3 linked regions of the Drosophila melanogaster genome follow. The protein of the gene in region 3 interacts with the protein of the main gene of each other region in a pairwise test. Each region holds a gene or a part of one and is shown on either strand. Other genes may lie near its edges. The genes, in order: CG17292, Pex19 and Acp53Ea.

Region 1 (11,611 bases), on a different chromosome or scaffold from region 3:
TATAATTTTCCATGTAATCTATGTAGATATATAATCATATTCTTGGCCTAATTTAATAAGTGTGATTTTAATATTCTTCAGAATTCAGTTAAATAAAATATATTTCAGAAAATCTATCGACGCGCGGAAACGCCGATAGTATCGAATGATAACCGATATGCGTTCCACCTCTACCGTTGTGTCACTTGAAGAAAAAAAATATTAATTTGCACCAACGACGTACGTTTTTCGTTCGAAAAGAACAGCAATCAGCGGATAATTGTATGGATTCTTAGAAAATTTGCAGCGACGAAATATAGTACCTTGCGAAATTATTTTGTAACCTTGAAGAAGTAAACTGCGAATCGCCAGAGGGCCAAATAGAAATCTCGTCGTTTGCCTGCAGAATAGAAGACCCGATTTTCAGTGCGCTTGTGTTTGTGTGTGAGCAGCAGAAACAGCAGAAAAAATGGCAGCAAGCGACAAATCGGTCGACGATTCACTATATCCCATTGCGGTTCTAATCGATGAACTGAAAAACGAGGACGTTCAGGTTTGTCATGTCCTAAAACCTGAAATCCAATTGTATCTCGCGAAGAATGTGCAGAAATATTCTAGTGATTAAATTTTGGGGTAGCGTGCCCACACTCCCTGCTTTATCTGCGATTGTATTTGTGCAAAAATGCGTCACGGTGTGTGTGTGCGTGTGTGCATGGGCATTTGTGTTGGTGCGAGTGTGTGCATCGAAATTATACCGAATTTCGATATACACAAGATTAGCGTTTTGCGAAAAAAATTACTATTATCAATTAATTGCAATTATGGGTATACGTCTTTATCCGCTTTTTATTTGTAGATTTTGTTATCCTTCATTTATGTATGTATAAGTATAAGTTTTTACGCATTTGCTATTTGCAAAAACAATTTACAACTGCGCGTGTTAAAAATAGATCAACTTCAATCAATAGTAATACCATAACTGATTTTAAAATGAGATAGTAAGATGAAATATTTTCGTTACATCGAATAATCTAATCACTTATCTTATCTAAAAAAGATATCTTAAGTAAATATATATGCTACGTTTTTTTTTGAAAATAAAATGTAGGGTACAGGTTGACCACCGCTTTTGTAAAAAAAAACCAATAGCCCTATCAATAATAACCTCAAAATCGTAGAATTAGTTACCACTTATCCTAAATTTGAATACCCTATTAAAATAATCATCTTTAATATTTTCCCTTACCAAAACAGCTTCGGTTGAACTCCATCAAGAAACTGTCCACCATTGCACTCGCTTTGGGCGAGGAGCGCACACGGTCCGAGTTGATTCCCTTCCTCACCGAGACCATATACGATGAGGACGAGGTACTGCTGGCCCTGGCCGACCAACTGGGCAACTTTACTAGTGAGCAAAGATATAATTTCTAATGAAAACATTTCCAACCATGTTCCGCCGTTACTTTCCAGGTCTCGTTGGTGGGCCAGAGTTTGCCATGTACTTGATTCCGCCCCTCGAGAGTTTGGCCACCGTAGAGGAAACCGTGGTGCGAGACAAGGCTGTGGAATCTCTACGCACCGTGGCCGCTGAGCACAGCGCCCAGGATTTGGAGATCCATGTGGTGCCGACACTGCAGCGATTGGTTTCCGGTGACTGGTTCACCTCACGCACCTCTGCCTGCGGCCTCTTCTCGGTCTGCTATCCACGCGTCACACAGCCAGTGAAGGCCGAGCTGCGCGCCAACTTCCGAAAGCTCTGCCAGGATGAGACACCCATGGTGCGCCGTGCAGCGGCCAACAAGCTGGGCGAGTTTGCCAAGGTCGTTGAGACGGAGTATCTGAAGTCCGATTTGATTCCCAACTTTGTCCAGCTGGCACAGGATGATCAGGTAAGCACCTGATTAAGACCAATTTAACAACACTCCAAAATATCAATCCTTATCCTTAATTTCCAGGACTCTGTCCGTCTGCTGGCTGTAGAGGCATGCGTAAGCATTGCCCAGCTGCTGCCTCAGGATGATGTAGAGCACGTAAGTTGATCAGCGCTGAAATTGTTAATACCTGTTGGCTTACAAAAAATATTCCATAGCTGGTTCTGCCCACGCTGCGCCAGTGCGCCAGCGACTCTTCCTGGAGGGTGCGTTACATGGTGGCCGAGAAGTTTGTTGATCTGCAAAAGGCTGTGGGCCCAGAGATTACTAGGGTGGACTTGGTGCCTGCCTTCCAGTACTTGCTCAAGGATGCCGAGGCCGAGGTTCGCGCTGCAGTGGCCACCAAGGTGAAGGACTTCTGCGCCAATCTGGACAAGGTCAACCAGGTGCAAATCATCCTTAGTTCCATTTTGCCCTATGTCCGCGATCTTGTCTCGGACCCCAATCCTCATGTGAAGTCAGCTCTGGCCTCAGTGATCATGGGCTTGAGTCCCATGCTGGGCGCCTATCAGACTGTGGAGCAATTGCTCCCCCTGTTCCTTATTCAACTCAAGGATGAGTGCCCAGAAGTGCGCCTAAACATCATCTCAAACCTGGATTGCGTTAACGACGTCATCGGTATCCAGCAACTGTCACAGTCGCTTCTGCCCGCCATCGTCGAGCTGGCCGAGGACTCCAAGTGGCGTGTGCGTCTAGCCATCATCGAGTACATGCCTGCTCTGGCCGGTCAGTTGGGTCAGGAATTCTTTGACCAAAAACTGCGCGGTCTCTGCATGGGATGGCTCAACGATCACGTGTACGCCATTCGTGAGGCAGCCACCCTCAACATGAAGAAGCTCGTCGAGCAGTTCGGAGCTCCCTGGGCCGAACAGGCCATAATTCCAATGATTCTGGTTATGTCGCGCAACAAGAACTATTTGCACAGTAAGTTATCGAATTGAAATTGTAATGATCAATATATGCTTATGGTTCTTATGATTTTTAGGAATGACTTGCTTGTTCTGCCTGAATGTTTTGGCAGAGGTCTGCGGCACAGATATCACCACCAAGTTGCTGCTGCCCACAGTTCTCCTGCTTGCCGCTGATCCCGTTGCCAATGTTCGTTTCAACGTGGCAAAGACCCTGCAGAAGATCTCGCCCTTCCTGGAGGCCAGCGTCATTGATGCCCAAGTAAAGCCCACACTCGACAAACTGAACACAGACACAGATGTGGATGTCAAGCATTTTGCTGCACAGGCCATTGCCGGCATAGCTGCAGGTAAGCAATAAACAGTCTAATATAAACAAGGTTAGCGTTTGACAGGGATAGAAAGGGTCTAACTTATAGAACAATATATAACATTATTCATTATCACAAGTTTTAAGGCATGCAGGGAATCTGAGAGTTACACAAATTCATAAATTGTCAGTTAGTAGTAAGACTTTAATTTTAATTAAAATCCTGCCATAGAAATGGAACTGAATGTGTTTAGAACGGCAATACCGCCGTGCATGGGCGCCAAAATTGAGGCGGCAATGGACTCAAAGCTGATAGTGGAACCGCCCCGACAGCCGGAGGCAGCTGACAATGACATTTTGCAGGAGATGAATGGCAAGGCAGCGGAGCCGCCCACGCTTGACTCGGAATGTTAGAGGATGAGTAGCCAACCACATGACGTGTGATGTGCCTCCCGCTGTCTCCAGCCAGTTCCACAAGCCAATGTGTTTAATCCTCCCCGTCATAATCGTATTCACATTTGATTGTTTGTTTGTTCAAGATAACCAGGCTAGATGTCCGATCTGATTAAAGTGCGAGTGCAGTGGATCAAATATTTAACCGATACTAATGTTGTGCCATATTTTTTTGTCTCTTTCCCGGTATCATCGCCATCACCACGTGGTTATCTCACCATTCCCCACTCTGTGTTCGTCTGCAATAATGTGTTTTGTATATTTGTTTATAGCGTAATCAACCTTCTTGCATCTTTTTTTATTCTATTTTTAAAACTGTATGTATTTAACGCCGGCAACAAAACATATTATGTAGCAACAACACTTAAGAACGGAAAATTGTAGTGGATCCCGGAAGGTGTTAAACGCTGCAGCCGATGCTGGATGAGGGATGAATGGAGCCAGGAGTCAGAGGAAGGAGAGAATCGGAGAATCAGCATGGGAGGAGACCCACTAAACGCGACACACAACTAAACATTACTACTTACATACTTATATTATATATAAATTACCATAGGCATAACGATCATTATTAAAAACATTTGTAGAGTTTGGAACATTTGATCGCATCTGAATGCAAAAATAAAATTGTAGTGAAACAATATCACACGATCTATTGAAAAGTTTAATGTGGAGCAAAATTGAATATTTAACTCCCAAAATTGTATACCAATTTCTAGGTTTCAGTTGTCAGTTCAAAGTTTGGAAATGTAATATTTTCCTTTTTATAGTTTCGTTCAAATTAAGCTTTATATACATTCTGATTATTTGGCAGGTGCATTGATTATTTATAATTTGTGAGAGGTATGGCTATGAAAAGCATAGATTATACAAACAAAATACTTGTATTTTTACATTTTAAAAATACTGTTAATTTATTTTGAAATCCTAAAATCATTCCAGCAGTAAACGATTTTGATAGCAAGCTAGACTGATATCGATAGGCGCCAAACAGACACCTGGCGATAGTTGGGGCTTCTTTTTGGTTTTTTAATTGGATGATGGTGGTGGTGGTGGTGGTGGTGGCGAGCAGTTTCTAGCGAGAGATCAGTTGGACTTTTGCGACGAAGCGATACGCTTGTTTGTTTTGCCGTTCCGCTGCGCGTTGGCCAATGTTTGCCTAACTCTCGAATCGAATTCCGAAACCGAGTGTGGACGCGTAAGTGCCATTGAATTATTCCGTCTGACGCTCGAGCGCCATCGAATCGGATGCGGCGTGGAATGTGGTGGAGTCAATGGGGGGATCAGATGCAAATTTGATTGGGCAAATGGGTGGAACCAATCAATTGTGTGTATACAATAAAACGAGGTGTTTGTGTGTGCCCAACCAAACACAGCCAAATGCGGAACATTATCAGTTTACCCACGGCTGTCGCAATCTCCGCGTCCGTTTACCGTCCACTGACCTACGATCCACCTGCCCCCGTGGACGCAACAAGTGTCCGAATATTTATAGTCTATGGGCTCTATGCATTAATTACTCGCATATGTCAAAAACGCTGAGCTGTTATTACAATTAGTGCTTCATTATTTAGCCCGATTTCCCCAAGTGGCGCGTTTCGCTAAGCGTTATTATTTTTACCTTCCGCTAAACACTTGGCGCCGATTCGATTCCCTCCTTACCCTCGAAACCAGTGATACTCCATCGTGCGACTGAGCATTATCTGACGGCTAATTTTCCCCCGATAAGCCGGAATATAAATTGAAGTGCTCTTTATTTATGTCCGCGATACAACGGCGAAATCGAGGCAAAAAAAGAAGGCCGGTACTTAAATTACCATTGCGTTGGGCAGGCAACGAGGGTCAGGGGTCTTCCATTTCGACATATATCTATGTACACATTTATAAGCATTTCTACAGTCCAACTTCCCTCAGTTAGATATGTTATGATTAGGAGGTTGACAAGAATAATAGTTGCAATATTAATTTATTAGTTTATACAAGAAAGTTTTGAGATTTCATAATCTCATTGAAGTATTTATATATTTTATTTTAAAAAGTATTTGTATTTGCTTGTGTTCTGCATTGTACTTTGTACTTTAACAATGTATGCTTAAACTGAAACACCACTTTCTAATTTAATTCAGTCCGAAAACAAATATATTCCAAGCTAAACTTTAACTTTTGTTCCCACTTAGGGACGTTGGACTGTAGCTTACAAGTGTGTTTGAATGGCATTGCTGTAATTTCAAGTCTGCATATTTAAGCACTGTAGTTTGTTCACTTAGACCTCGGGTTAAGGTAATCTCTGGCAATAGACAGTGGGCCCTGTAGCTGGTTGAACTGTCAAACATTTCACTTTTTTTATGATAGCCATATTACTAAGGTCAAAGTTACAGGGTCCGCCCATAAAAAGACTATTACTTTTTAAAAGTTAATTTTAGTGATAATAAAATGCACTTAAATAGCTAGTAAAACTGTACTTAAATAAACATGCTGTATTAGTCTATATATAATTAAACCCATCATATTAATGGATCAATAATAGTTACGGCGATCTTTAAGTTTGTAACTTTCAACGGGAAAACTTTGTAATTATTCAGCTCACTCCTGTTGAGGAAACTCATTATGTTGCAATTTTAATTGATCGTGGTGATTTGGAAATAAGTAGACTGGCTGGCGACAAAGCTTTTATTTTTATGGCATTCATTCAATCACCATTGAATTAGTCCTCAAGTGCATAATGGGATTAGCGTTCGATTAAACTTGTTCAGCCGATAGAAGTGGATGAATAATAATGCGGAGATTTGGAATGTTCCGAAATCGGATGTTCCACCGTAGGAGCACATGAATGATGCATGGACAGGCAAAGGCTTGGACTCCCACACGGACTTTGCCGCCGTTGGGGCGGCACACTCGTGTGAATCACGATGCTTACGATGTCGCAAGGCTTTTTTTGGCCGAACTCACCATTACTATCTTATCCGAAAAAGATTGAAATTTAATTAGAGTTATCAATTTCAATGGGGGTTTAGGCCACGCCACATTAATCCGGCCAACCGAGTGCCCGGCCCAGTCTTTGCCAATCACCGCATGGGACCAGAGGATATCCGGACAATCCACTGGCCACGTAATCAATCACTTTATGGACTAATAGCCGACAGCCCACAGAAACATGCACAAGGCCATTAAAAACAAATCCAGTAAGTAAGTGTGCGAAAATGGAAAATTCCGCTAATACAATTTGGATAATTATTAAACCAGGGCTCCTCTGCGGACTCAAGAACTCCAAGGCGGATCTAACGACAGCCAAGTTTATACTATATTATGGGTAAGAACTAATATTATTATTAGTAAATATGAAGAAAAATTATACATAAAGCCATGTTATTGCACTAATATCCAAATTTCTTAAATATATTCAAGTATTCACCTATAGCATTATCTTTTATTCACAGACCCACGGTGGCAGATAGCGATATCTATGACCTAACCGATTTCCAGAGTCTTCTGGAGGACGAGCACTTGGATTTGGGCAAGAACACCGTGCTCTATTTGCACGGCTACTTGGAAGATCCGGATGTGGAGAGCATTCACGTCATAGCCGAGGCCTATCTGGAGCGAAAGGATACCAATCTTATCGTCCTAGACTGGGGTGAACTGGCCGATGGCAATTACATGTTCGATGCCTTCCCGAACCTCAAACAGCTGGGCCCAGAGTTGGCCAAGGTCCTGCTCAAAATGTTCGACCATGGCCTGGACATTGAGAAGTTCCACATTGTCGGACACTCGATGGGCGGCCAGCTGGCCGGACTCCTCGGCCGAGAGATTACTAAACGCACCAAGGGTGTCAGAAAGATAAAAAGGTAAAATGAAAGAGGTTTGATTTCAAATTATTTATTCATGCTCGGTTCGATTTTAGTCTATGCCGACGTCATGATATACGATGTTTAATATACGATATTTAGTTAATAATTTTAATGTCCAAAGCTTAACACTTTTGTATTACCATATGGTAATACAAAAAGTTTTTTTTTAGAATCGTTGTTCGGCAAAGTTTATAAAGTTTATATTGAATCCTTTTCTTGTCTCACTTATCTCCAATCTTCTTTTATAGAATTTCCGCTTTGGATCCCGCATTTCCGCTCTTCTATCCGGGCACGCACCTGTCTGCCAATGATGCGGAGTTCGTCGACGTGATACACACGGACGCCTGGCTGTACGGAGCTCCGACGAGCACGGGCACGGCGGATTTCTGGCCAAATGGTGGATACAGCCTGCAGCCTGGCTGTCCCAAGCGAAACTACAAGATGCTCAGCGACAACGATCTGTCCAGTCATCGGAGGAGCTGGTGGTTCTGGGCCGAGAGCGTTTCGGATCGATATCCCATTGGATTCGATGCTGTGCCCGCCAAGAAATGGTCGGACTTCAAGCAGAACAAAATAGTAGAGAATTGCCCGCCCGTGGTGATGGGTCATCATTGTCCCACGACGTAAGTTTCTACTTGCCTTATATGCATAGCGCAGAATTTAGTTTCATCATTTGAAATTGTGATTTTCAGAATTCATGGCGACTTTTACTTACAAACCAACGGACATACACCTTTTGCTCGAGGCAAGGAGGGCACTGTCTACGTTGACCCCAAGGATCTGCTGGGAAATACCCACAGCATCACCTGTGACTGCCCGTCGGAGAAAACGAATTAATAAGACCATCTACAATTGCACTGTGTACATTATGAAATGTAGCTATATTAATATTGTTGTTTCTATGACGCCTTACACCACATTTTGATTTACGAGAAAAATATACTTAAATTTTGTTGTTGAAAAAAACTTTGCATTACTTTGGGGTATTTATACATTATTATTGCACTATTTGGGGTTTTAAATGAGTTTTATTAATTACTTTTTTTGAATGGATTTTTTGAACTTTCAAATAATTTAAATCTGGTTGCTGGTTCCGCTCTTGCAATTCATTCCGGAACCAGTTCGAAAGTTGCGATATCGATAACACAGCTATCGACCCGTCAACCTCTGCCACCGATAACATTGTTTGCAACAATTGAGCATATTGACAACAAAACGAAATTCGACAGGCTAAAATGAAGATAAAACTAATAGATTCGGTGGTGCGCAGTTTTAAGGTGGCCAAGATCTTCCGAGAGAACACGGACAAGATCAACGCCATCGATTTTGCGCCCAACGGCGAACATCTAATATCCTGCAGCGAGGATGACCAGATCGTGATCTACGACTGCGAAAAGGGGACGCAGTCGCGCACGGTGAACTCGAAGAAGTATGGAGTGGATTTAATCCACTTTACGCACGCCAACAACACGGCCATCCATAGCTCCACCAAGGTGGACGACACCATACGCTATCTCAGCCTGCACGACAACAAATATCTGCGCTACTTCCCCGGCCACACCAAGAAGGTTATCTCGCTGTGCATTTCGCCGGTGGAGGACACCTTTCTCTCCGGCTCGCTGGACAAGACGCTGCGCCTGTGGGACTTGCGCTCGCCCAACTGCCAGGGACTGATGCATCTCTCTGGACGACCCATTGCTGCCTACGATCCCGAGGGCTTGATCTTCGCCGCTGGCGTTAACTCGGAAAGCATTAAATTGTACGACCTTCGCTCTTTCGACAAAGGCCCCTTCGTCACATTTAAACTTAATCAGGAGAAGGAATGCGACTGGACTGGCCTTAAGTTCTCCCGTGACGGCAAAACAATTCTGATCAGCACGAATGGATCGGTCATCCGGCTCGTAGATGCCTTCCACGGCACTCCGCTACAAACGTTCACGGGCTATCCAAACAACAAGGGCATTCCCATCGAGGCAAGCTTCAGCCCAGACTCGCAGTTCATCTTTTCAGGCAGCACCGATGGACGAGTGCACATCTGGAATGCCGACACTGGCAATAAGGTGTCCGTACTGAATGGTGACCATCCGGGACCGGTGCAATGCGTTCAGTTCAATCCAAAATACATGATGCTGGCGTCCGCGTGCACCAACATGGCTTTTTGGCTGCCCACATCCGAGGAGGGCTTGTAGGCAATGATTCCCGCTTGCTTAGCTTATAAGATTACAATTTAATTTATAAATAATAAATCAACATAACATAAACAGAGGCCTCTAACTGGATTCCTGGGGCTGGTCCTTGTGGCGGTCGTATCCTCTACGTATGCTGTTCAGGAGTTGTCCAAGATTATGACCCATTTTGGCACTAATGCCGAGCACGGGATTTTGCAGGCGACGTTGCAGTTCCTCAAAGTTGTTTTGGCCCTCTTCCACGTCCAGCTTATTGGCCACCACCAATTGCGGGCGACTCGCCAGACGTCCGCCAAACTGGCGGAGTTCGTGCATTAGCTGCTCATAGTGCGTCCATGGCTCCGGTGCACTGGCATCTAACACGAACAGCAACAAGGTGCAACGCTCGGCGTGCTTTAGGAACTGTATGCCCAAGCCCTTATTGCGATGAGCATCGGGCACGAGTCCGGGAAGATCGGCAATGGTGAGCTGGACATGATCATCGTACTGGACGGTTCCCAAGTGCGGACGCAGCGTGGTGAAGGCGTAGGGAGCAACCTTTGGCTTGGCCCGTGTCAGTGCATTCAGTAGGGTGCTTTTGCCAGCATTGGGGTAACCAATCAAACCCACATCCGCCATGCTGCGCAGTTCCAGAGTGTATGATAGATCTTCACCCCTAGGACCGTATTCGCTGACCTTGGGACTTGTTTCCTTGTCCGTGGTAAAGAAACGGTTGCCCTTGCCACCGGCTCCTCCTCGAGCGGCCACAAACATAAGATCCGCTTGTCCCAGATCCCCGACAATTTGACCTTGCGCATTCCTGATCACCGTCCCGATTGGAACCTTGATCACAGAATGCTTGGCGTTCTTGCCATGACAATCCTTGGAGCTGCCCGGCTCTCCTTCTTCAGCTTTCAGAACACTCCCCACGTGGTTAAAGTTGCGCACATCGTTAGAGGCCTGGAACACCACATGCCCGCCGTGGCCACCGTCTCCGCCATCTGGACCGGCCCTTTCATTGCACCATAGCTGCAGGAAGGACACGCAACCGTCGCCACCCTTTCCGCCGATGGCACGTATCCTCTTGGCATCGGAGAAGTACTGCGCCTGGAAATGTGGACACAAAAGTGTGGCATTAGTTATGTAAATTCCATTGCAATCTTATGATTCTACCTCTTTCCGGGTGGACTTCGCCTTCTTCGGACGCAGCGCTGATGCCACCTGACAGTAGTTGGCTATGAGACCAATTGGTTTTGCATTTCTGGATATATTCAATGAAAATCGCGCAAGAAACGATTTGCCGGTAGAGAATAACATTGCTGAAGTCTTGTGACCATGGGCATAGTCAGAAAAATATGTAATAGGGATTGATATATCTTAATCAAGTGAAATTAAATTAAATGATCTAAAGGTTCGAGAAATGTATTATATAAATATATTAAGATGTATTTTTAGGGCGGCTAGAATTTTTTACTTTTAAAAAAGTATTCGAATCCCCGTCTACACCTGTGGAAAATCACCTGCTGATACATAAACATATCGCGACGACTATCGAAAGCTATCGAACCAGCTGGAAATTATGTTTTTGTTATCCAGAGGAACGAGAAGCTTTCAACAGTTGAGAAAGATGTCTATTAAAGGAGCACTCATTGATCTCAGTGGCACCTTGCATGTGGAGGATGAACCTACTCCGAATGCTGTCGAGGCGTTAAAAAGGTGCTTAGTTTAAACCAAGGTATTCGTAATTATTTTCAAAGTTGCCGTGTAGATTGCGTGACTCTGGCGTACTGGTGAAATTCGTTACAAACACCACGAAGGATTCAAAGGCCACTCTTCACGAACGGCTATGCAGGATTGGCTTCCAACTTGACGCCTCTGAGATCTACAGCTCCTTGAGTGCCGCAGTCTCGTATGTGGAAAATGAGAGACTAAATCCGTACTATATTCTGTCTGAGGATGCACGACAGGACTTTCCGCCGGAGGACACTAGGCGCTATAAGGATTCAGTTGTAATCGG
Region 2 (11,587 bases), on a different chromosome or scaffold from region 3:
CAGCTGTGAAAAGCACCGTGGAATGGGAGAAGAGCAGAGAACTTTGGATTGGGGGGTATACGAGTACAAGGGAACCACAATACTTCTGCTCCAGATCCTGGGCATTCCATCCATTCAAATCCTATGCATAGTTTCGACTTTCACTGGTTTCCGGAAATTAATTAATGCCGTAAGTAGCACGATACAATTTAAGCGTTACATATCCTTTATGGATACCTTGTTATAAGGATAAGGGAATACTGGACTTGAGAGATCAGTCTGCCTGGCGTTTGCTTTTCACTCTTCACTTGAGATATTCTTTGGGGTTCCACTTGGCCCCGGAAATCAAATTAGATATTCACTGGAACCCATAATGCAATCGAGTACGCGTTTAACACTCTTTACAAGCGTAATATATCCTTTATTGATACCTAATTATGGCTTTCGTTTATATTGCCACTCGAGTAGCCTCTTTTCTCTCAGTTATTTATTGCTTTCGGAAACGGTGAACAAAGTTCTTCATTTCAAATTGTAGGTTTTATTTTAATTATCAGTATATTACATATAAATATAAAAGTGTGTGTTTAGAACTATCTATTGATAGATCATAGTAAATTATTTTCAAACAAAATAAGTGAGATATTAAATATATAACACCATATTGGATGCAGGGAAACATATTCAGTTGAATACAAAATCAGCGACTATTGATCAGTTTATGTTTCCAACTTTCCAATTTAACATTTAACAAAGTGACTTCATCCATATCCTTACCATGACCGCATCCACATCCTTGTCATGCTTTTGCCACCATTATGCTCCGCTGCCTCCGGCTTATAACCATAGTTTCGACCCTTTTCTATGGGCCGTCGTGGGTTTGATTAATTGTAGAATTTCACGCAACAGAGACCCTCGAAAAGAAGTTAAACAAAACCGATGGAAAAGAAAAGAAAGCGCCGAGTGGGATAACAACAAAAACCTGAAAGCCGCGAACAATAGAGAGCGCCAAGTGTTGCAAGAATTAATGATGGACCCCAACCTCCGTTTGAAACGCCAGCGAGGAAATTGACCCACAGAGATGTGACGAATGTGCATGCTCCTCGGCAGGATCCGTATCCAAGTGCCGGAGTGCAAGATCCAGATGAGATGCAGATCAAGGACAACGGAGGCCGCAAGGCAACAAAGGTTGGGTTTCTACTGCTCGGTGCGGCTGCCCGTTGGGCGTTTGGTTAAGCAAACCCAACGGGAGGAGTTCGCAGTACCAGGCACCCAGTATGGAATCGCTACATTTGCGCCTGGCAGGATAGCAAAAATCCCCGATGACCTTGAGCCCATGGCCACGATGGCAGACTAGCAAGTATTCTGTGATAATTAAATTATCCTCAAACATATGTAACTCGAATCAAATGGAGAGGCGCCTCAATCCACCATCGATACCCACCATTCGATTTGATCCTCGTTGATTTCACAATTTGGCAGGACAATGAGCGCTGAATAGGCAACTCATATAACGCTAATTTCGCGCTATCAACGCTTGGAAAAAGGCGATTCTGCTATGGGATCGTCACTTTGGGTAGAGAAAGGTCCTGAATCCTGGCCGAAATGCAGGAAGCAGTAGGAGGCATCGGTGCCATAAACGCTGCAAGTCAGCTTCGCTCGCATTTCCACGAATCGGCCAGCGGGAAAATGAAGACACATCCGTGCAATGAATAAGGATGCTAAGAGACTTTTTATGATGCCACCCAGGGTGCTATGAATGAAAATCCACCTCGCGATCCTCAACTTTCGCCAGCGAATGCTTCGTTTACCTGCGACCCTACTACACATCTCCAAGACTCGAATCTCATCCGATTTGGAGGAACTGCCTCGAGAGGCTCGTGCGCTCAATCGATGCACACAAATAGCTATATAATCGATGAAAACAATGCACACATTGTGCGATTTATACGATCAAATTCATTGGCAGTTTTCAATTCTCAAGCATTTTGGAATCTCTAGCTGTTGCTTTTATACTACGCGTTTCAATTCAAAATTCAACGCAAAATCTTTTAAGAAAATATTTATATGTGCTGAAAAGGAAAGCCTATTTAACTTCATTAAATTAAATAATTTTAAACATAGATTTTTGTTAATATTTATATTTTTTTACAAGTTTCTTTAATGTGGTTTTTAGTTTTTGCTGTGTTCATTTGACCTTTCCATAAATTTAAAAACCCAGACGAAAGTTGCGCAACACCTTTCATGCAGTTTGTTTTATTGCCAGGCTATAAACTTTAGTATAGCATGCCATTGCAGTGCAATAAAGTGTAGTTATAGGAACCCATCGTAAAATAAATATTTGAATCAGATATAACTTATATAACCATGCGCATTCATTCATTGCACATATTTGATGGAACTGTATTTTATATATATAACAAGTATATAGTTATCATAGTAATAGGTATGGTTTAGTCCACAGAATCCCAGGGTACTTTTCCTACCTATACTCTACAAGTTTCCGCTGCTGTTTGTGTTTGGCAATCGATTCGCTTTGGCCGGACGTAATGTGGTCTGTTGTCACACATTGGAACGGCCTTGATTGTTTCACGTTCCCCGGGTCCTAATGTCTTTATCAGGCCCTTTGGCATGGTGATTCCTTACTTTTTTTTTCTTTGGATGCTGTGGTGTGCATCGAATTTCCATGTCCACAGCCCACAGAAGGCTCTGACCGACGAACGCACTACGGGATGCTTAGATAATGGACTATTTAGAGCCATGATTTCCAGAAATTAGGGAATTCTGGAAGGCATATCGTAATACACCGTGGCAAGCAACATCTTTAGACATCGTATATTATACTTAGTTAGCAAATCTAAGTACTTAGATTCTAAAGAAATAGCACTATTTATTTAGCTACAGGCCTACTAAAGATATTTTAAGGAAAAGCAAACATTTCAACTTTTCTAATAATCCTTGTTTTTGGTTTAATGTAGTATTATATACAATTTAATTGATTTTCAATACCTTCATTTAGCTATGTTTCTAGCTGAAATCTTAAGCCCCCTGTTGATCCTGCGCTTCTGCGCTGATCCTCAAATATTTCCACTCGCTCGACAGACTGGCAGGCGGCGATTGACTTTTTCCTAATCCGCAGTAAGTTTTAGTAAATATGAGTCGCATTCTATCCCGTGGTCCATTCCATCCTATCCCATCTGAGCTGAATCTCCCAGAGCGAGTCCTTTCGCAGGAGTCCTGTGACCGGAGCGATCGTAAATCGCAATCCCCGCTAAAGCATGCAAACAAATAGCGGCAAAGTGCGAGATTAGAGGGAAAGTCGCAGCAGCTTAGATCCTGGATCCTGGCCAGCCTGTGTCCTGGATCCCGTCGATCGCCAGTTGACTTTTTCAAATATTTTGGAAAAGTTCTCGAGTGTTGATCGCCCGATTATAGCGGATAATCGCATTACAGCCCGACGTTTTATTGATCAACAATTGTAAACGATTTGCCATGGCCCATGGCAATCTGGGTGGGTCAGGACGAGTCGGGCCAACTCGGAGTCCATGTCCAGGTAGTTATCGAAAAAATGCTGCGGCTTAACGCAGCCCACGCCCACTCTACGACAAAAAGTGGGCGGAAAGCTGAGGGCCTTTCCCGATCTCCGGGCGATTAACCCTTGCTCTTGGTAGCAGTTTAGCCGGGCTAATTGAAGGCATTAGTTGTTTGTGGGTCGCGAGCTGGCTTCCCCGGAACTCCATTGTCCTTAAATTAGCATCTCTCATAGCATATATACCTTCGATCGCAATTGGTGGAAACTTCGCGCCTCTGCCCACAAACGTTTGGTTTTGGCACTCCAACCACATGACATTCGTCATGCACTCAGCGAAAATACTTAGCAAATGTTGTTCATGCAAAGAAATATTCATATTCTGTATAATTATTGCTTAAGAATATATATTTTTCAGTACCTAAATGTATAAGAATGAAGAAGCTATAAATTAAATAATAAATAGTTAGTTAGTTGAAAGGGATTATCTTCCTGTGTATTGGGACGTCACAGAGTCTGGCTGAATTTTCGCCGATCATGTAGGAAGTGTCCCAGGGGCAAAAAGGGGAGCCCCTGCCACATACACCCACTTTCGAGAAACTCATTAGCCTGGGGCACAACAAACCCGGCAACTCGGGGCACAAACAAACCAATCCCGAGCCCAATCGACTGCTAAACGCTGTCGGCACACATCTGAGAGACGGCGACGGAGGCCAACAAATTGATCATTAAACAGAAGGCGCAAATGTAGGCGCAACCCATCGTTGTCCAACAGAAGATCGTAGCATCGGAGCATCAGGTCGAGATCAAACACCTGGGCCCTCGACCTGGCGAAGAAAGTGACGAGGCTGCGACGTCAACAAGATTAATTTGTTTTCCGGCCGGGTTCCATCTCCATCCAGAGTCACAGAGCCACATCCACATCCATATTTCCCAACTCAGCCGGCAACCTGTTGTCCAGTTCCCCGATTTGTAATTGCCCTGCTTTGTGGTAGTCGATCAGGTTCGATCGCGGATCGATCATATACTCTACTATAATGGACAAACTCGATGGATGGCGAAAGAACATCATTAGTTTTCTCGGCGTAGAGTCCACAAAGTAGGTGGCGTTTTTCTCACATCCCGAGTGTTTCTATGGAATCTCGATTTGGAGATGTTGGATCTTCTCTTCGGCGGCGTTTGTCCATTAGCCACGGTTTGCATCGGATATATGCGAATTTAAATAAAATCATTCAATTGTTTCATTAATCACTGGCTACGGTCGGCGTTTTCTATTAAAAAAAATGCATTGCCAATGGAAAAATTGACTGCAGAGACCGTGATTATTTATACATTAGTGGGAAAGAATCTTCAGTTTTATGCGAAGAGCTTAAAAAGTTTCTCATGATGTCCTACTTAGAAGTGGTTTTATGTTTTAGCAATCTATAATTTCTATGAAACTTAATTGGGAGTAATTCCTAACCACTGTAATAAAAACTATTTGACCTGAGGAAGCCAAAAGCAGCTCTTGAGCCACCAAATCGATTGGGAAACATAAAACATATATGTGCTGCAGTTCACGATAAAAAAAAAGCAGGGCATGGCGAATTGGGAGGCTGCAACCGAAACGCACACTTAATTTCCGCTTAATCAAACAGAACAGCGACTGGGGGGGCACAGACAGAGCAACCCACATCATCTGGAGTCGGCTACCCTTCGACCCAATCCTCTAGAGGAAAACGTATGGCAGACGCAAGGGCTCATTTGCATGGCCACTTTGATGGAGAGCGATGGGTGTCGGAGCATGAAGAGCTCGCCCCATTGCGCAATGGTTGATGGTGGATGTTGTATGTTGGATGGTGGATGTGGGTGTCTTGTCTTTCGGGAAGCTGCCAGCAGTTGACTTCTCCAGTTCTTCTTTTCGGGGCAGGATTTCAAAGGAAAAGTGAGCGTTTTCCAGGAATGACTGGGAGCCTTGTAATCGCAATTACCATGGCCAAAATATCAAAAGATAATGCCATCCTGGCCAGACACAAAAATATGTCGAAACATATATAAATATCTTATATTTTGTGATACTTGAATGATTAATACAAGGTGTACTAAAGCTACAAGTTATTTTGAATGTAATGTAACATTCAGATTTCTAGAATCAGAGTTTAATTTAATTAGTATAATTTTTTTATTTTAAAGAACTTTTATTCCTTTTATATTACATATATATTACATATATTTAGTGTCTTAATTTATTTACTCCTTTATATATACTTATTATTTACACTTTATTACCATAGCCACACGACACCAGCCACAATATAAATAATGTGTCTATAAAGTCGCAATCATCGTCATTACCGAACAATCGCGAAATCCATTATATCCTGTTCAGTGCATCGTAAAATCGAGCATCTTTCGCTGGAAGGATGCGGAAATGTTGAAAAAAATAGCGATGCGATCAGCGAGCGTGAAATCGCAGTCAGCATATGAAAAGGATGTACAGGATCGTATCCTGGCAAAGTTCCTGCAAAAAGGAAGGGAAGTGTAGATGCTTGTGAAGACGCTGATGGGCATTTTATGACGGTTGGAATCCTTCCTCTTCTGGGGAAATAGAGCTGGAGATTCAGGTAAATTCAGCTAGTCTAGCAAACCGATTATATCGGAATAAACAACTTTATGACGCGCCTGTTGGTGCCTTAAAAATTATGTCAAAAAAGAGCGAGTTTCTTGGTTTATTGGGATCGGGTGTGAGTGTGACCCAAAAACCATTGTTTTGGCCAACGAAGGGGTTTTTACGTTTTCGACTTTTGTTTTGACTTTTTGACGGTTGTCTTGACTTTTTGAACTGAACTGCTTGGGTTCTAAGAAATTTGAAGTTGAACTATATACTCTGATGTTCGCAGCGAATAGAGAATGAAATTTTTCCCTAAAAAGAGAGTTATGGTTTTTAGGGAAATTTTTGATGTTATATGTATGCATATTCTGTAAATGGATTACAGCCCATAAAAAGTCAAATTACCCTGTTTCTGTAGGAAATGTAAGAGTTTCAGGCGGTTTGTTCCACCCTAAGCCGCAAAATAAAACACCAAATTATGCATTATTTCAGTCGAAGCTCCGCCCATGCTGACATTTTCAGAGAACCGACTGACCGAAGAAAACTCCGCCCCAATAGTGGAAATAGAGGAAAAAACACAAATTTACCACAATACTTCGCTGCGTGGGCGTACCGAATCGAAGATTCGTTTTGCTCTTCTGGTAAACCGTGCGGTTAAAGTCGCAAAGAGCACAGCCCATCCCAGCCCAGCCATTTGACCATATGAGCGGAATTGAGGAAACCAAGCGGGGTTCCTCCGCAGCGGTGACCTTCGGGCGGGAGTGGACCTAGAGCTGGACGCCCTACTGCAAAATCCATGTGTCCCGTCCATGGGTGTGACGTTCTGGTTTCGGAATTGGTCGCGCATCAGCGTCGCGCCGTGACCTTGATGGTTTTGCGACCCCTCCCTCACCACTCAGTATGTGCGGTTTGGGCTCTGGTCGCAGTTTGGTCGCCGATCTCCGTCCGCGCACAGCGAGGTGCCATTCCCGGGGAGATTGGCTGAGAGTTTCGCAGAAGATGCGTAAATATTTTGGGTGATTATTTTAGATAATCTTCGACTAATGTCCTTGGTTTGTCTCTCAAGACAGGAGGGATATTGAGGTGCTTCGAATTTAAGTTTATTAGTCTGATGTAGGCCTAGATTTAAATATGTACACTATTATATTGTAGATGGGTGTACTGATGACTTGTTGTTGTAAGACATATAATTTTCTAAATCAAAACTCGAAATTTTCATTGACAATAAATATATGTTATATGAATTAAATGGCTAGACATTTTCACACTTATGTGTAGTCCACAATAATAATGCATTCCAGATTATTTCGAAATAGGTATTCTGAACTTGTTTTGAACTTTATATAATAGTAACAAATAAGAATTCTTAATTTAAGGAATATATTTACTAAAAATTAAACAAAATATAGCTATTTTTCTTAAAAAAAACATTAAATGCATTTAAAAGTTGTTTAAGTAATATGAATTTTGTCTAAGCCCTAACCGAAACTGAAATCTTAAAATTAAAACCAACAATTATATAGAAAAGTTAATTTTTAAATTTTTTTCTTATCATTTCGCATCCTTTTAAAAAGCCGTTACGAATGCGGTCGCACTAAGATGTGAGTCAGTGTAGCCACACCTGTTCAGCTGACTGCGGTATGCACCAGCAGCAGATGAACGGTCCCACTGATTGATTCAGTCAGTCTTTATTTTTTACCATTTCCCACCCACCACGAAATCAAGGAAAAGCATCCCGAAATTGCACAATGTCCGAAGAAAAGAAGAATGGCGATGAATTAAACGACTTGCTGGACAGTGAGTACAGCCCGGAAATGCCTTTGGCGATCCCTTCTCGACCCCTTACATAATGCGCACTGCGTCGTCCACTTTTCGCACAGGTGCTCTCCAGGATTTCGATAAAAGTGGTGCCGGTGACCAAAAGGAGCCGTCCGCATCATCGGATGTGGCGACCAACGCTGGACCTGAGGGCTCCGAGGATCCAGATGCGTTTTTCATGTGAGTCAATGCGCCAGTGCAACGCGGCACTTGAACTTTGTATTCTGACCTGTTATCCGCCTTCAGTGAGCAGGCCAAGGTGCTGGCCGATCGCATGAACACGCTCTTCGGAGGTCCGGACACGCCCAGTGGCGATATTCCGCCGCTGCCCCAGGATCCCGACCAGATCATGGCCGGTTTCAAAAAGATGGCCGAAGCGGCAGCGCTCACCTTGAGCGGCGAAAATTCGGCCACCGACGAGGATGTCTCCAAGTATTCTGATAGCATTTCCCAGGCTCTCAAGGGTCTGCAAGAGGGCTCCGAGAACCTGGCTGCTCCCGCCTCGGAGAACGACATAGCCAGCATGTTTGGTTCACTGAATCTTGAAGGGGTATGCATCCTGAAAATGAAATATGAATTCTCCTTGCTCAATCATTAAACAATCCCCGTTTGACAGGCTGGCGAGGGTGATGGAAACATGTTCCTACCATTCATGGAGGGCATGATGCAGAGCCTGCTCTCGGCGGAGATTCTGTTGCCCAGCATCCGGGAGCTGCTGGAGAAGTACCCCAAGTACCTCGAGGAGAACGACGCCAAGCTCTCCGCTGAGGACAAGGAAAGGTATGCTCGAAATCAACTCGCAATAAGATACTTTTATTGAGAAACCAATACATACAGGTACCAGAAGCAGATGGAGCTGTACAAGGTGATTGAGGGGCATTTACAGAGCGAGAAGACCGAGGATTCGGCCGCCGTGAAGCGAGAGAAGTTCCGCGTCGTGCTGGACGACATGCGCAAACTGCAAGACTACGGCCAGCCGCCGCCAGAGATTCTGGCCGAGACGGGCGGCGACTTGCCCTTCGGCGATCCCACTGCCGGCGTAGCAGCCGGCGGTCCCGGTCCCCAGTGCCCAACCATGTAGTGGCTGACGGAGCACGATAGTCTCGTGGTGTGCCAATTGGTTAACTGTTGAGTGTTGCACATTTTTTAGGCTAAGGCAAATTTGTATTTTATTTTATCACCGACAAAACAATACGGCGGTCGCTAATGGTTATCACCTCTCTCTTCAATCAAGCTATTATTTTCGTATTAACTGTTGGTTTATTAAGTAGTTCTATACCTAAATACAATGCCTCGAAATACACCTAGAGGAAGAAGCGACGTCGCGACTCCATGGCGTGCCGTTTGTTGCTGATTATCCAGGCATAGTCACCGGTCTTGCTGTCGAATGTGCCCTCCTGCAGGGAACGTAGTTTCAGGGTGAACCGCGGCCCCAGTTCGCGCAGCTTTACGCGTTTTCCCTCTTTGGTGAACTCGTAGCGGTGGTGACGGAAGAATATGTAATCTCGCTGATTGTGGAACGTCACCGCTCGGCGGCCGCGGAACTCGGGATCGTGATGGAAGAGGGCACCCAGCATGCGGCCCACGGTCAGACCCAAACGTGTGGTAAAATTGTTCAGGATCACTTCGGGCCTGTGCTTGGTTATCTCCTTGTGATCGCGCTTTATGTCCGAGGTGAGCTTCACGTTGGACAGCTTGAAGTGGGCAGTGGGACCATTGGGCAGATGAATGACCAGCAGCCCATTGGGCTTTCTGCGATCTTCGTTAACGATCACGACGTCTGTGAACTCCTCGCGCTCGGCGCTTTTGCATATCTTCTTCACCGACGACTTGTTGCGAATCTTAACCAGGGCGTTGGGGAATATGCGCGAAAGCTCCAGTCCAAACTTACGCGTCTTGGTCACCGGATTGTCAGCAAAAGTGATCAGCACCTTTGGCTCGTACGAACGTTCGAAGTACGAGCTGAAATCGTCCAGTTGGAGTTCCTTTTGCAACTCCTCGTTGTCGGAATCGTTCAGATTGGCCACCTCTGTTTGGTCCTTCTCTCGCAGGCTCTCTATGGTGTGACCAGGATTGGCGGGTACACCAGCCTTCCGTCGGGCACGGCGCTCCTGCATTTTTTTCTTGTGCTTCTCCTTCTTCATTTTTTTGTACAACGCCAAACGCTGCTCCTTGTTGCGCATCCAGCTGAGGGGATTCAAAACAGGAATTCGTGTCTTCTTGTCGTCGTCGTCGTCATCATCCTCTTCTTCGTCGTCGTCGTCATTCTCCTCCTCATCGTCGTCATCATCCTCTTCCTTTAAATCCTCACTGGCTTCCCCTTGTTTGGCCGTTTTTTTGCTGCTGGAGGCGGCTTCTTCATCGCTGCTATCAGTGACTGGCCCCTCCTGGACTTCCAAATCCTGTGGCTCCTCCTCGTCAAAGCTGGAATCGCTGTCCGAGTCCTGTTCCACGGGCGGAGGGGCTGTTTTTCGCTTAATTTTTATCATTATTCCGAGAGAATCACGAATTCACAAAAATGCGAGCGGCACGTGTTGATATTCTTCTTCTTATACCAATCACACGGAAACGCAGACAATCTGCTGTGTGGGGCAGTGTTGGAAAACGTGCCACTCACAACGTGTAGTTTGTAAACAAAAATATATTTAATTAAAATGGTATTTCGGGTCTTAGAACTATTTAGTGGCATTGGCGGCATGCATTATGCCTTTAATTGTGAGTTCGTCGATCATGATACATGCGAAACTAATATATACTTTTGAAGATGCCCAATTGGATGGACAAATAGTTGCCGCCTTGGATGTCAACACCGTGGCCAATGCGGTTTATGCGCACAATTACGGCAGTAATTTGGTGAAAACTAGGAATATTCAAAGCCTGAGTGTAAAGGAAGTCACAAAGCTTCAGGCCAACATGCTGCTGATGTCCCCGCCATGTCAGCCCCACACTCGCCAGGGATTGCAAAGGGACACGGAAGACAAGCGATCGGATGCACTTACTCATCTGTGTGGACTGATCCCAGAGTGCCAGGAACTGGAGTACATACTCATGGAAAACGTCAAGGGTTTCGAGAGCTCACAGGCGCGAAATCAGTTTATTGAATCGCTGGAGCGGTCGGGATTCCATTGGCGGGAGTTTATTCTAACGCCAACGCAATTCAATGTGCCAAATACTCGATATCGCTACTATTGCATCGCCCGCAAGGGTGCAGACTTTCCATTTGCCGGTGGAAAGATCTGGGAAGAAATGCCGGGTGCTATAGCCCAGAATCAGGGTCTTTCACAAATTGCCGAGATTGTGGAGGAAAATGTATCACCCGATTTCCTGGTGCCCGACGATGTCTTGACCAAAAGAGTGCTGGTCATGGACATAATACATCCTGCTCAAAGTAGATCCATGTGCTTTACAAAGGGCTACACCCATTACACCGAGGGCACGGGCTCTGCATACACACCGCTTTCGGAGGACGAATCCCACCGCATCTTCGAGTTGGTCAAGGAAATTGACACAAGTAATCAGGATGCATCGAAGTCGGAGAAGATTTTGCAGCAACGCTTGGACCTGTTGCACCAGGTGAGACTGCGCTATTTCACGCCACGGGAAGTTGCTCGTCTAATGAGTTTTCCGGAGAATTTTGAATTTCCGCCAGAAACAACGAATCGACAAAAGTATCG
Region 3 (8,800 bases):
CTTAAATGCTTAAAGTTGGTGCAGGGTAAGTTAATACTGAGACTTATCAAGCGTTCCAGTCACTCTCTTCTAAATTCATTTAAGGACGCTATACTAAGAGCGAGGCCAACGATACGCAAACTCAGTCGGATGTTTCGCCTAGCGATGAGGGATGCGCCGACATGACCGTCAGCTGCATCTCCAGCAATTCCATGGAGTGAGTAGTCGTTTAGCCACCCGTATAAACACACCACCCACACCAGCACCACCCATCTTAGTTAGCTTGCATCCATTCGGCTTTCTTGGTTTATTAGAACAAACGAAATTGGCACGACACCACAGCACACCCACAGCATATATCAGTCCACCACACTAACCCAAATCACCTTATCACATCCTCCACCTCACAAAAATACCCTGTATATCCCGTTCTTACTCTGAACGATCCCCTTGGGACAGTCGGAGCGCAGAGTACATGCGCTATGTGGAATATTGTAGACATAACCACGCTTACAGCGACAAGGCGGTCCGCAAAGCGGTACACAGTATTTGGAGCGGTATTCGCATGTCTCCGGACAAACGCCAGCACATCCCACATATGTGGAGTTGTGACAGCAGCCGAACTTGAAGGGCTGCTTGATATACTTCTCCTCAGGGAGCGGGTTCCGCTTGAGGGCTATTTCTTCACCTATTGGATGAACGATGTGGTATCTATGCTCCAGGCTATCAAATTCGTCAAAAACCTTTTTATGCGGGTTCTCCATGAACTCGTCATCGTCTCGCAAAGCATCGAAATGATCCAAGGTTCGAGCGGTGCGAAAAGTCATGCCATTAGTTACTGTTACCGGAAGTTCATTGGGCCAGGTCAACTCAGACTCCAAGGTTGGCTCGGCAATGTCATCCGGCCAGGTAATCTGGTCCTCTGCAGAATCTTCTGCCATCAGTACATGTTTTTGAAAGAGAATTCCAATAAGCTGTACGACAAAATAAACCTTCGGCCATGCCATCATAGGAAAATTATAATAATAAACTGAGATTAAAACTGTATCACATTAAATAAATCAGGACTGTGTCAGAATTGCTGTGAAATGGCAATTTGTTAGGGTCACCAAGCACCAATCACTATTGTTTATAAGTCATTCGCAGCTAGAGATTTGACTAGATTACTTCTTTTAGTTGCAAACATTAGTTTATTGTCTTTTTAAAACACAGAAATATTTTGAGGCTTTTACTGAAAAACGCGATGAGTTTCAACAACCAGTTGCTTTATGTCTAGAGGACAATCAGTTTTAAGGATGCATAGTTGCAGATTTTCGTTAAAGACATAGTCAGGTTTGCATACGCAATTTACACCGCAATATTTGGGACACTTGAGCGATTTGAAGGCACAGGTTTCGGGGCAAACTCCAGCACACCTCACCATGGTGGCATTCTCGCCGCAAAATCCCGAAAACGGATTCCATATGTACTTCATGCGGCCCGGATCCGGGTCCACATCATGGTTCAGGATATGATCCTCGTCGATGCCAGTTGTCATGACCGAATCCATCAGCAAGGCCGGCAGCAGCAGAAAGCAGAGGGAATTGAACCAAACCATCATGCAAAACAAAAGCAACTGAAGCTATTAGCAATCACTTCCACTTGTTTCCCAGCCTTTACTGCTTCTGCTGCCAGCTGCTTCCCTGTAATTGCCCACCATTCGATCATCGCAGTGCAAAAACTAACGATAAACACACACCATCATTCATTTTCCTAATAACTCGAGATACTCAAAAACGAAACTTCCAATACTTTATTTGTTTGTTTTCCTTTCGGTTTTCTTTTACACAATTAGAAACAACAAATTTGTAATTCGACGCAGGTAATTTTCTGTTCTATCCAAAGAACCTATAAATCTAAACCAACTCTTGAGCGAGGCGTTTGACTAACAACCTTTAATTTCCCCAATCAGATTATGTTCACCGGATCGAGCTGATGCACCCAATGGCTGGGAGGCACCTGCTCCGGCTACTCAGCCGGCTCTTCCCCTCCGTCTCTATGTGCCGGAACTGGAGGAGATTCGCGTGAGTCCTGTGGTGGCCCGCAAGGGTCTGTTGAATGTCCTGGAGCACGGCGGTTCCGGCTGGAAGAAGCGCTGGGTGGTATGTATTTAACCCTGTATGTTTTAAAGTGCATTCTAACCTTGAGTTTTGGTTAAATAGATCGTCCGTCGCCCGTACGTGTTTATCTACCGCTCGGAGAAGGATCCCGTTGAACGGGCTGTCCTCAATCTGGCGACTGCGCATGTGGAGTGCAGCGAGGACCAGGCGGCCATGGTCAAGATACCCAACACATTCAGGTCGGTTTGATTTCCACTTAAGAAGTAGACATGCATTGCTAAATAATACATCGATTTTTCTTCAGTGTGGTGACCAAGCATCGTGGCTATCTGCTGCAAACTCTCGGTGACAAGGAAGTACACGACTGGCTGTATGCTATCAATCCATTGCTTGCTGGGCAGATAAAGTAAGTAAAGAACTGAATATACAGCATTTTCTAAATAATAATTATATCATATTTTCAATAGATCCCGCCTGGCGCGACGGACTTTGGAGCCTGCTAGCCAGACGGCTTCCCAGATCCAGGCCACCAATGCGGCGAATGCCAATAGTGCGAGCAAATGAGATACGATTACGATGGAGTCCGTTTTGGTTTACTGAGACGCAGGCTATGGCTGGCTGCAGCGCCTGAGTATCGCCAGACGACTGGTCAGGCGGAGATCACAACAAATGGCAGGGACAGCAGCTGGCAACTGATTGATATAGCTTGAAGGATTCCATCGGAAGAGGGAAATGAAATAGATGATTGTTGCTGTGAAAGCACATCTTAATCGAATGCAAAAATCAGAGATAATGAGCAGAAAGAAACCAAATGCAAAGCGTACGTAATTATTAAGTAGTTCAACAACAACCTATACAACAATGGATTATATTACATTTCGTGATTAGTTGGCCACGGCCCAAAGAGTAGGCACTAGCAGCTCCAATCAGATACGATAGCCTACTTTTTAGAATCCCCTTCGATTAGTTTTATTGGACAATTTTGTAAATAGCCTTCGTTTGATTCGATTGTATAAATATTTGGTATTAGTTAACGGACCATTTAGTTTCAGTTCCCACGTGATATTATGTTGATCAGTTAGACTATGTATTTTTTCTCAAGTATGCGACAAATATGTAAAGCTTGTAATGCAAACAAACACACACGTATATGCATTTTAATGGAGCAAACTAAAGCAAAATACAGACATATATATAAATGAGGAACTATATGTAATGAATTAATGTATAAAACCCTATATATTTGCTGTTTATACACAAATTTTCATGTACTTGTATTGTTTAACTTAAAAAGAGCAGGTAAACGCCAGAGAAAATTATGATACCAAAAATATGTGTGTGTGTGTTAAAGAAAGACCGTACAGTATATAGGATATAGGAGACGTGAGGTATAAGCTCAGCAGAATTGCGAAATCTCTATAAAGGTAACGATTATTGTTAGATCTATATATATATACAAGCAAAACAGAACTATATGCGAATGAAACTATTTTACACACCAGAGTTACGAACCATGAAATCGGCGCTGCTATAACTCAGCTGCCCCACATTGTCAACTGTTGACGGCTTTTAAGGCTTCTCCCCCCACAGACTCCCCACAAAAATACCAAACAGTTTCGCTTCTAAAATGCTCCCTCTCGGAACCACCTGCTAAAGCTTCAAGCAACACGTTACGGAACAAACCAATTGTAGTTTTGATAAGAGTCTTAAACTAGTACGCAATGGCCACCTGTATATTTCCCAACTGAAAATGAAACCGACATTTTGCTTTGCTTGCGAAAAGAACTTTGAATTTAATTTGCGTTTCGCCATCGGTTGATGCACGAGCTTAGGTCAGGTTAATGGATCAATTGGAGCTTCACTTGTGCCCGGATCACAAGCCTCGAAGCTCCCAAAGTTGTTGAAGGGATCGCTTTCGTTTGTGTCGCAAAAATGGACACGGAACGTTAAGCGATCGTTGCTGGATCGAGGAATACGTATTCTTTTAGAAATCGTTTCGGAACTGAGTCGGCGTTTTGGGTTTTGAGTTAATTGTAGCAAAATGTAAACATTTGTTAAACTATTGAATTAATTTCCAATTGTAACATATTAGAGAATTGTAATTACAATAATCATTTTACAAGCATATTATATGATATCTATGTATGTAATAACCTATTTTGGCCCAGTTTGAATTTACCAACAAAAGAATTGCACACACCAAAAATATAGAGCTATATATTAGCGAAGCGAGTTAACGAGCAAGAAACTCAACTTATATATGCGTATATGGTACAATACATTTCAAAATCGATTTAAATATGTACATCGGCTATATATCAATGTATGTAAGAGATGATTGCCTGGCAACCGTTTCCAATGACAGATGAAAATTAGAAGAGCAGAACCAACGCGTGGAAAATGAGGGAAAACCTATGCTATGTGTATGTATAATCCAAAACAAATTGATATTTGCCAGGGCGTATCACTATTAAAGAAATATAAAATAAAACGGCTTTAAATAAAATCTGTAAACTATCGGGTTGCTTTATATTGATTAGGCTATACGAAGAAAGGTAAGGTAAGATAGAGCTGATTACTGAAAATGTGGCTTATATTGACTCGATATCTATGATTTGTGAAGCGGACTGAAACATTAATTTGATATTTTACAGCATTTTTATGTCGCAAATGAGCGTAGTTAAACCATTTACATTCTGCAACTCAGAAACACTATAAGTGGCGTTTAGTTTACGTCTGGAACCTCTGTGTTCACTGAAGTCTTTCGGCCATGAAGTCCAAACAAGTCTTTTACATCGCCTTCAGCTTGCTTGTGAGTTTTAATATTTGCTCAAAACTTTTTACTGACTACGATTTTTAAATTGTAAAGCTGCTGGGATCCTTGCTGCCAAACGAAGTGGAGTCCTTAAGAGTAGATCTTAATAAGCTGGCGGAGTGCACAGAATCGGGATTGAAAGTAGCCACAACGTTGCTCGTGAGGGCGATACCATGTGTAAAAAAATTGGCAAAATGTGCTGACTTTCGAGCCATTAAGACTAAGGACCTTGATATTACCGCACTTGCCCTCTTGGGCTATCAATATCTGCAAACGGTCGTGAACAACCAAAGATGTCTATTGATCTCATTGAAAGAAGGCTACGACGCTGTGTCGCCACACCTTGACAAACTTATTAGTGGCAAGTGCCTACCAGGGCTCAGCTAAAGCAATATATACATATGCAAACACTTTATTTGGTTTTTAAATTCTTAATTTAGCCTTAGATATAGACATATTTTCAGTATTTAAATGAGTTGCTTGAATCACAGGAATACAATGAATTTGGCGAGATTATATGATTATATTCGGCAATAAAATCTAGATAATTATAGTTGTTATTAAAAGGACAGCGAAATAGAAAGCACAAGCTTAAAAATTCTTTTTGCGGGTCTGGAATTAATTACGAATTCAATTTGAATTCAGTTTCAACTATATGCCTTCTTTTTGTAACCTTTTGTATAATGTTATTATATAAAATGTTAATGAACATGCGAAAACGATTAACAATAGCAACAAAATCCATAAACTGCTCACACACTTTGAAGTGTAAAATCTGTTTTTAAAGCTTCTAATAGACCGTGCTGATTCGATTATCCTGGGGCCTATAAATAGGGCATAAAACACAGGGGCTCCGAAAGTTTGATCTTCAGCCGTTTAGTCGAAAGCACACAGATAAGGCTTCCAATGAAACTGATAAAGGTTACACTAGTGTTCAGCTTACTGGCTGTAAGTACATTATTTAAATATGATCTTTTTAGGCACAATAACAATAGATAAACTTCACTTAACAGCTCGTATTTGTGGCCCAAACGGAGGCGCAAAATCCAATATGGGAGAATTGGTTGGCATGCAATAGAATTGGTACTAAAGCGCTTGCCAGTCTGCTGAGAGAAACAATCCCAACTGTTCGCAATTTACTGAACTGCATTGACTTCAATCCACCAACCGATATTGGAAATAGTTACCTTTCAAAACTTAAGTTGTACTATGAGCTTGTTAAGCGAGGTGCGCTTGACAAGACTCAGTGTCTGATTGTGCCACTCAAGGAATCAGTGAGACTACTGAGGCCTTATGTAAAATCGCTTGAGACCAACAAATGCTTGGGTGAATAAATCACTATTTTGGCCATAATAAAATAAATTTCTGAGCATTAATAAAGCACAGCAATCAAAAATGTATATTTTTTAAAGGAGGGTAATGCCTAATAGACCTTCCAAATTAATCATGATATAAGTTAAGTGCGGTTTTTTTCTCAAATTTTTTATTTATATTATGATATTACCGAAACCCAAAAACACATTTTGGTTTGGATTCAATCGGCTGAAATACTTTATATGCGAGACAAATTATTCTGTTGTATTGCATTTGAAAATTGAATTGACATGTATTAGGCGCAAAATTTATTATGGTTTTTAACTGTAACCAATTTTTTTAGCACTGCTTAGGTGGATGAAATTAAAATTAGCTTGTAATCCTATAAATAGGACAGCCCTTTCATAAATATTCTAAGTTTTTTCTGGTCATAATCGCGACTTAAAACAGGAGAATGAGCGTGATCAAGTCCATATTTCTGCTCAGTATTTTGGCTGTGAGTACATTTGGCTCACTTAATTACTTTTTAAATATACTTACCATTCTCCATAGGTCTGCCTCATTCCCCGGGAGACGGAGGCCCAGGCCACTATAAGTGAAAGCTGGGGAAGGCTGGGCAAGTGTACTCAGGTGGCCATCGAAACACTGACCAGCCTGGCCGATAAAATCGTCCCGACCGTATATGAGTTGAAACAATGCTCCGGATACGTAACTTTGGAACCGGCAAACGGCAAAGACAGAAAGATTACCTGGTACCTAAAGGTATCCTATGAATTCTTCAAGAAACTTGTCTTTGACGAACCCAAATGTCTGCACGGTCTACTGAACAAGTTGGCTGCCACAATCAAACCATTTGCCGAGCAGATATCGGGATTAGGTTGCTTGGACGAAGAAGATTATATCATTTAAAAAGAAAAGTGTGCACATTACATAAATAAATCGAGAGCAATATGGGGTCTCAAATGTCAGCAACAAAAATGTATTTCTTATTAAGTATAATTTTACAATATAACTACTGCATTTGGAAGTTAAGTTGAAGTTAAAGTTGGCTAAACACATTCAAGTTATGTGATTAAATTTTATTTTATATGATTAATTCAACAGAAGCTTGATAATAATGGAGAAGTCGCGGCCACGGTCTGGAAATTAGTAAGATTAGATTCGGATTACAATCATATTTTCGGTATAACAATTGAAAGGCGGTACATTGGGTATCAGTGATGCTCGACAGCATTACTAAAGCGATTATCCTGAGGCCTATATATATAGGGCAATATTTCCACATGGCCCACAAAGTTGGATCAAAAGTTGCTGGAATAAGAACCCCAATGCATTTGATTAAGATCGCCTTGTTACTAAGCTTTTTGGCTGTAAGTACGTCGACCTTTAACGGGATTATTTCTTAACCATTTCGCCATTTAGTTATGCCAAAAGTCGCAAGTTCAAGCCGCCATAAGTTCGGAACTCGATCACTATCTGCGATGTTTGGAAGTGGTGACTGATGCCGGTGCCCTAATGATCGAGAACTCTATAACGGCCATAAGCCTCCTATCCGATTGCGTTGATTTTCAGCCGAAAATCAAACTAACTGGTAGCATTCTCAGATTTATTAGGGTGGCCCATCAGTTTGGCAAGAAGGCGATATACGATCGACCGGAATGTCTCGTACAAACCTTTACCACCGGAGTCGGACTGATTAGACCGATTATAGCCAAGTTTGATAGCTTGAGGTGCTTTGATGAGTAAGACAACCTACCTAGTTTGAATAAATATTCAGAATATACCGAAAGTTTGCCTGGCCAAGCAAACGGATCAGAACCATCTTAATTGTTTTATTCTCATTCTTTTAAAATTCAAATTCAACATATCACAGAACTTCCATTTGAAATTACAACCATTGTTATTTAAAAGTAATGTTTATTAACTCTACATATCAACTGGTGGTTACACGTTTTTTTATATACAAAATTCGATTTATCTTCTGGTCGTCGGCCAGGATCAGTATTAGCGTAAAAATAACTAAAATATAAATTATGTAGAACAAAAAAAATGTATAATTGTTTAAATGTCTAGTACTTACGCAGACGGAGAAAAAGCTTCATTGCTATTGAGTTAAAGGTGCATTTCAGTTAGCCGATTTATATAGCACAGTCGACATGGAATCGTGACTGCTTCATTTTTAGATAAAGACCAGAAACAATTATATGTCTGAAATGTTGCACTGGCAACGTGACTAGGTTCAAGATAGCTACGAAAACAAGAGCTCCACTTGGCCAGGTAATCCTCCACTTGCCAGCAGCACCTGCTAAGTAATTACCTCAATTCCATGGTCGAAATCCTTTTCATTGTGGCTATGAAATTCCATGACAACCAAAGCTGGCCAAGCTCAGTGATGCAAATCCCACGCAGTATGCCAGTAGTGCATAAGCTCCGACAAGCTGCTAAGTGCTTTCGGAGTAAGAGGATGAGGAGAATATGGAGTATACTAACTTTTGAAGGACGCACATCCATACCAGAATATCTGCTGTAATTAGGCAAGTTGTCGCTACTGTTTGCCTTTTGCCATTTGGCCGCTGCTCCCCCGGCAATAGCA

The links.
Region 1: the proteins of Acp53Ea (region 3) and CG17292 interact in a two-hybrid assay, tested with the Drosophila melanogaster proteins (one large-scale study listed by BioGRID).
Region 2: the proteins of Acp53Ea (region 3) and Pex19 interact in a two-hybrid assay, tested with the Drosophila melanogaster proteins (one large-scale study listed by BioGRID).

The regions. Positions count from the first base shown.
Region 1 is NT_033779.5:8,365,863-8,377,473, forward strand, and holds CG17292 (uncharacterized protein), read left to right. Parts: upstream 1-4,591; 5' UTR 4,592-4,779; exon of another isoform or gene 4,780-5,385; intron 5,386-6,595; 5' UTR 6,596-6,735; coding exon 6,736-6,763; intron 6,764-6,824; coding exon 6,825-6,891; intron 6,892-7,018; coding exon 7,019-7,426; intron 7,427-7,677; coding exon 7,678-8,052; intron 8,053-8,121; coding exon 8,122-8,266; 3' UTR 8,267-8,388; downstream 8,389-11,611. Other genes in the region: Pp2A-29B (protein phosphatase 2A at 29B), read left to right, coding at 449-532, 1,234-1,387, 1,450-1,868, 1,935-2,009, 2,069-2,834, 2,896-3,168, 3,361-3,537, 3,854-3,858; Wdr82 (WD repeat domain 82), read left to right, coding at 8,665-9,618; CG13390 (uncharacterized protein), read right to left, coding at 9,700-10,701, 10,768-10,911; CG17294 (uncharacterized protein), read left to right, coding at 11,222-11,310, 11,363-11,611.
Region 2 is NT_033779.5:12,086,019-12,097,605, forward strand, and holds Pex19 (peroxin 19), read left to right. Parts: upstream 1-5,803; 5' UTR 5,804-6,108; exon of another isoform or gene 6,109-6,340; intron 6,341-7,669; 5' UTR 7,670-7,843; coding exon 7,844-7,892; intron 7,893-7,975; coding exon 7,976-8,093; intron 8,094-8,159; coding exon 8,160-8,463; intron 8,464-8,529; coding exon 8,530-8,693; intron 8,694-8,750; coding exon 8,751-8,994; 3' UTR 8,995-9,217; downstream 9,218-11,587. Other genes in the region: CG6712 (uncharacterized protein), read right to left, coding at 9,218-10,402; Mt2 (methyltransferase 2), read left to right, coding at 10,568-10,628, 10,678-11,587.
Region 3 is NT_033778.4:16,747,283-16,756,082, reverse strand, and holds Acp53Ea (accessory gland protein 53Ea), read left to right. Parts: upstream 1-5,747; 5' UTR 5,748-5,799; coding exon 5,800-5,841; intron 5,842-5,906; coding exon 5,907-6,227; 3' UTR 6,228-6,280; downstream 6,281-8,800. Other genes in the region: CG5267 (uncharacterized protein), read right to left, coding at 384-989; CG34189 (uncharacterized protein), read right to left, coding at 1,208-1,576; unc-104 (uncoordinated-104), read left to right, coding at 1-25, 85-196, 1,814-1,840, 1,931-2,120, 2,181-2,317, 2,383-2,484, 2,546-2,642; Acp53C14c (accessory gland protein 53C14c), read left to right, coding at 4,849-4,890, 4,948-5,280; Acp53C14b (accessory gland protein 53C14b), read left to right, coding at 6,662-6,703, 6,760-7,116; Acp53C14a (accessory gland protein 53C14a), read left to right, coding at 7,536-7,577, 7,630-7,953. UniProt on the Drosophila melanogaster protein: Responsible for physiological and behavioral changes in mated female flies.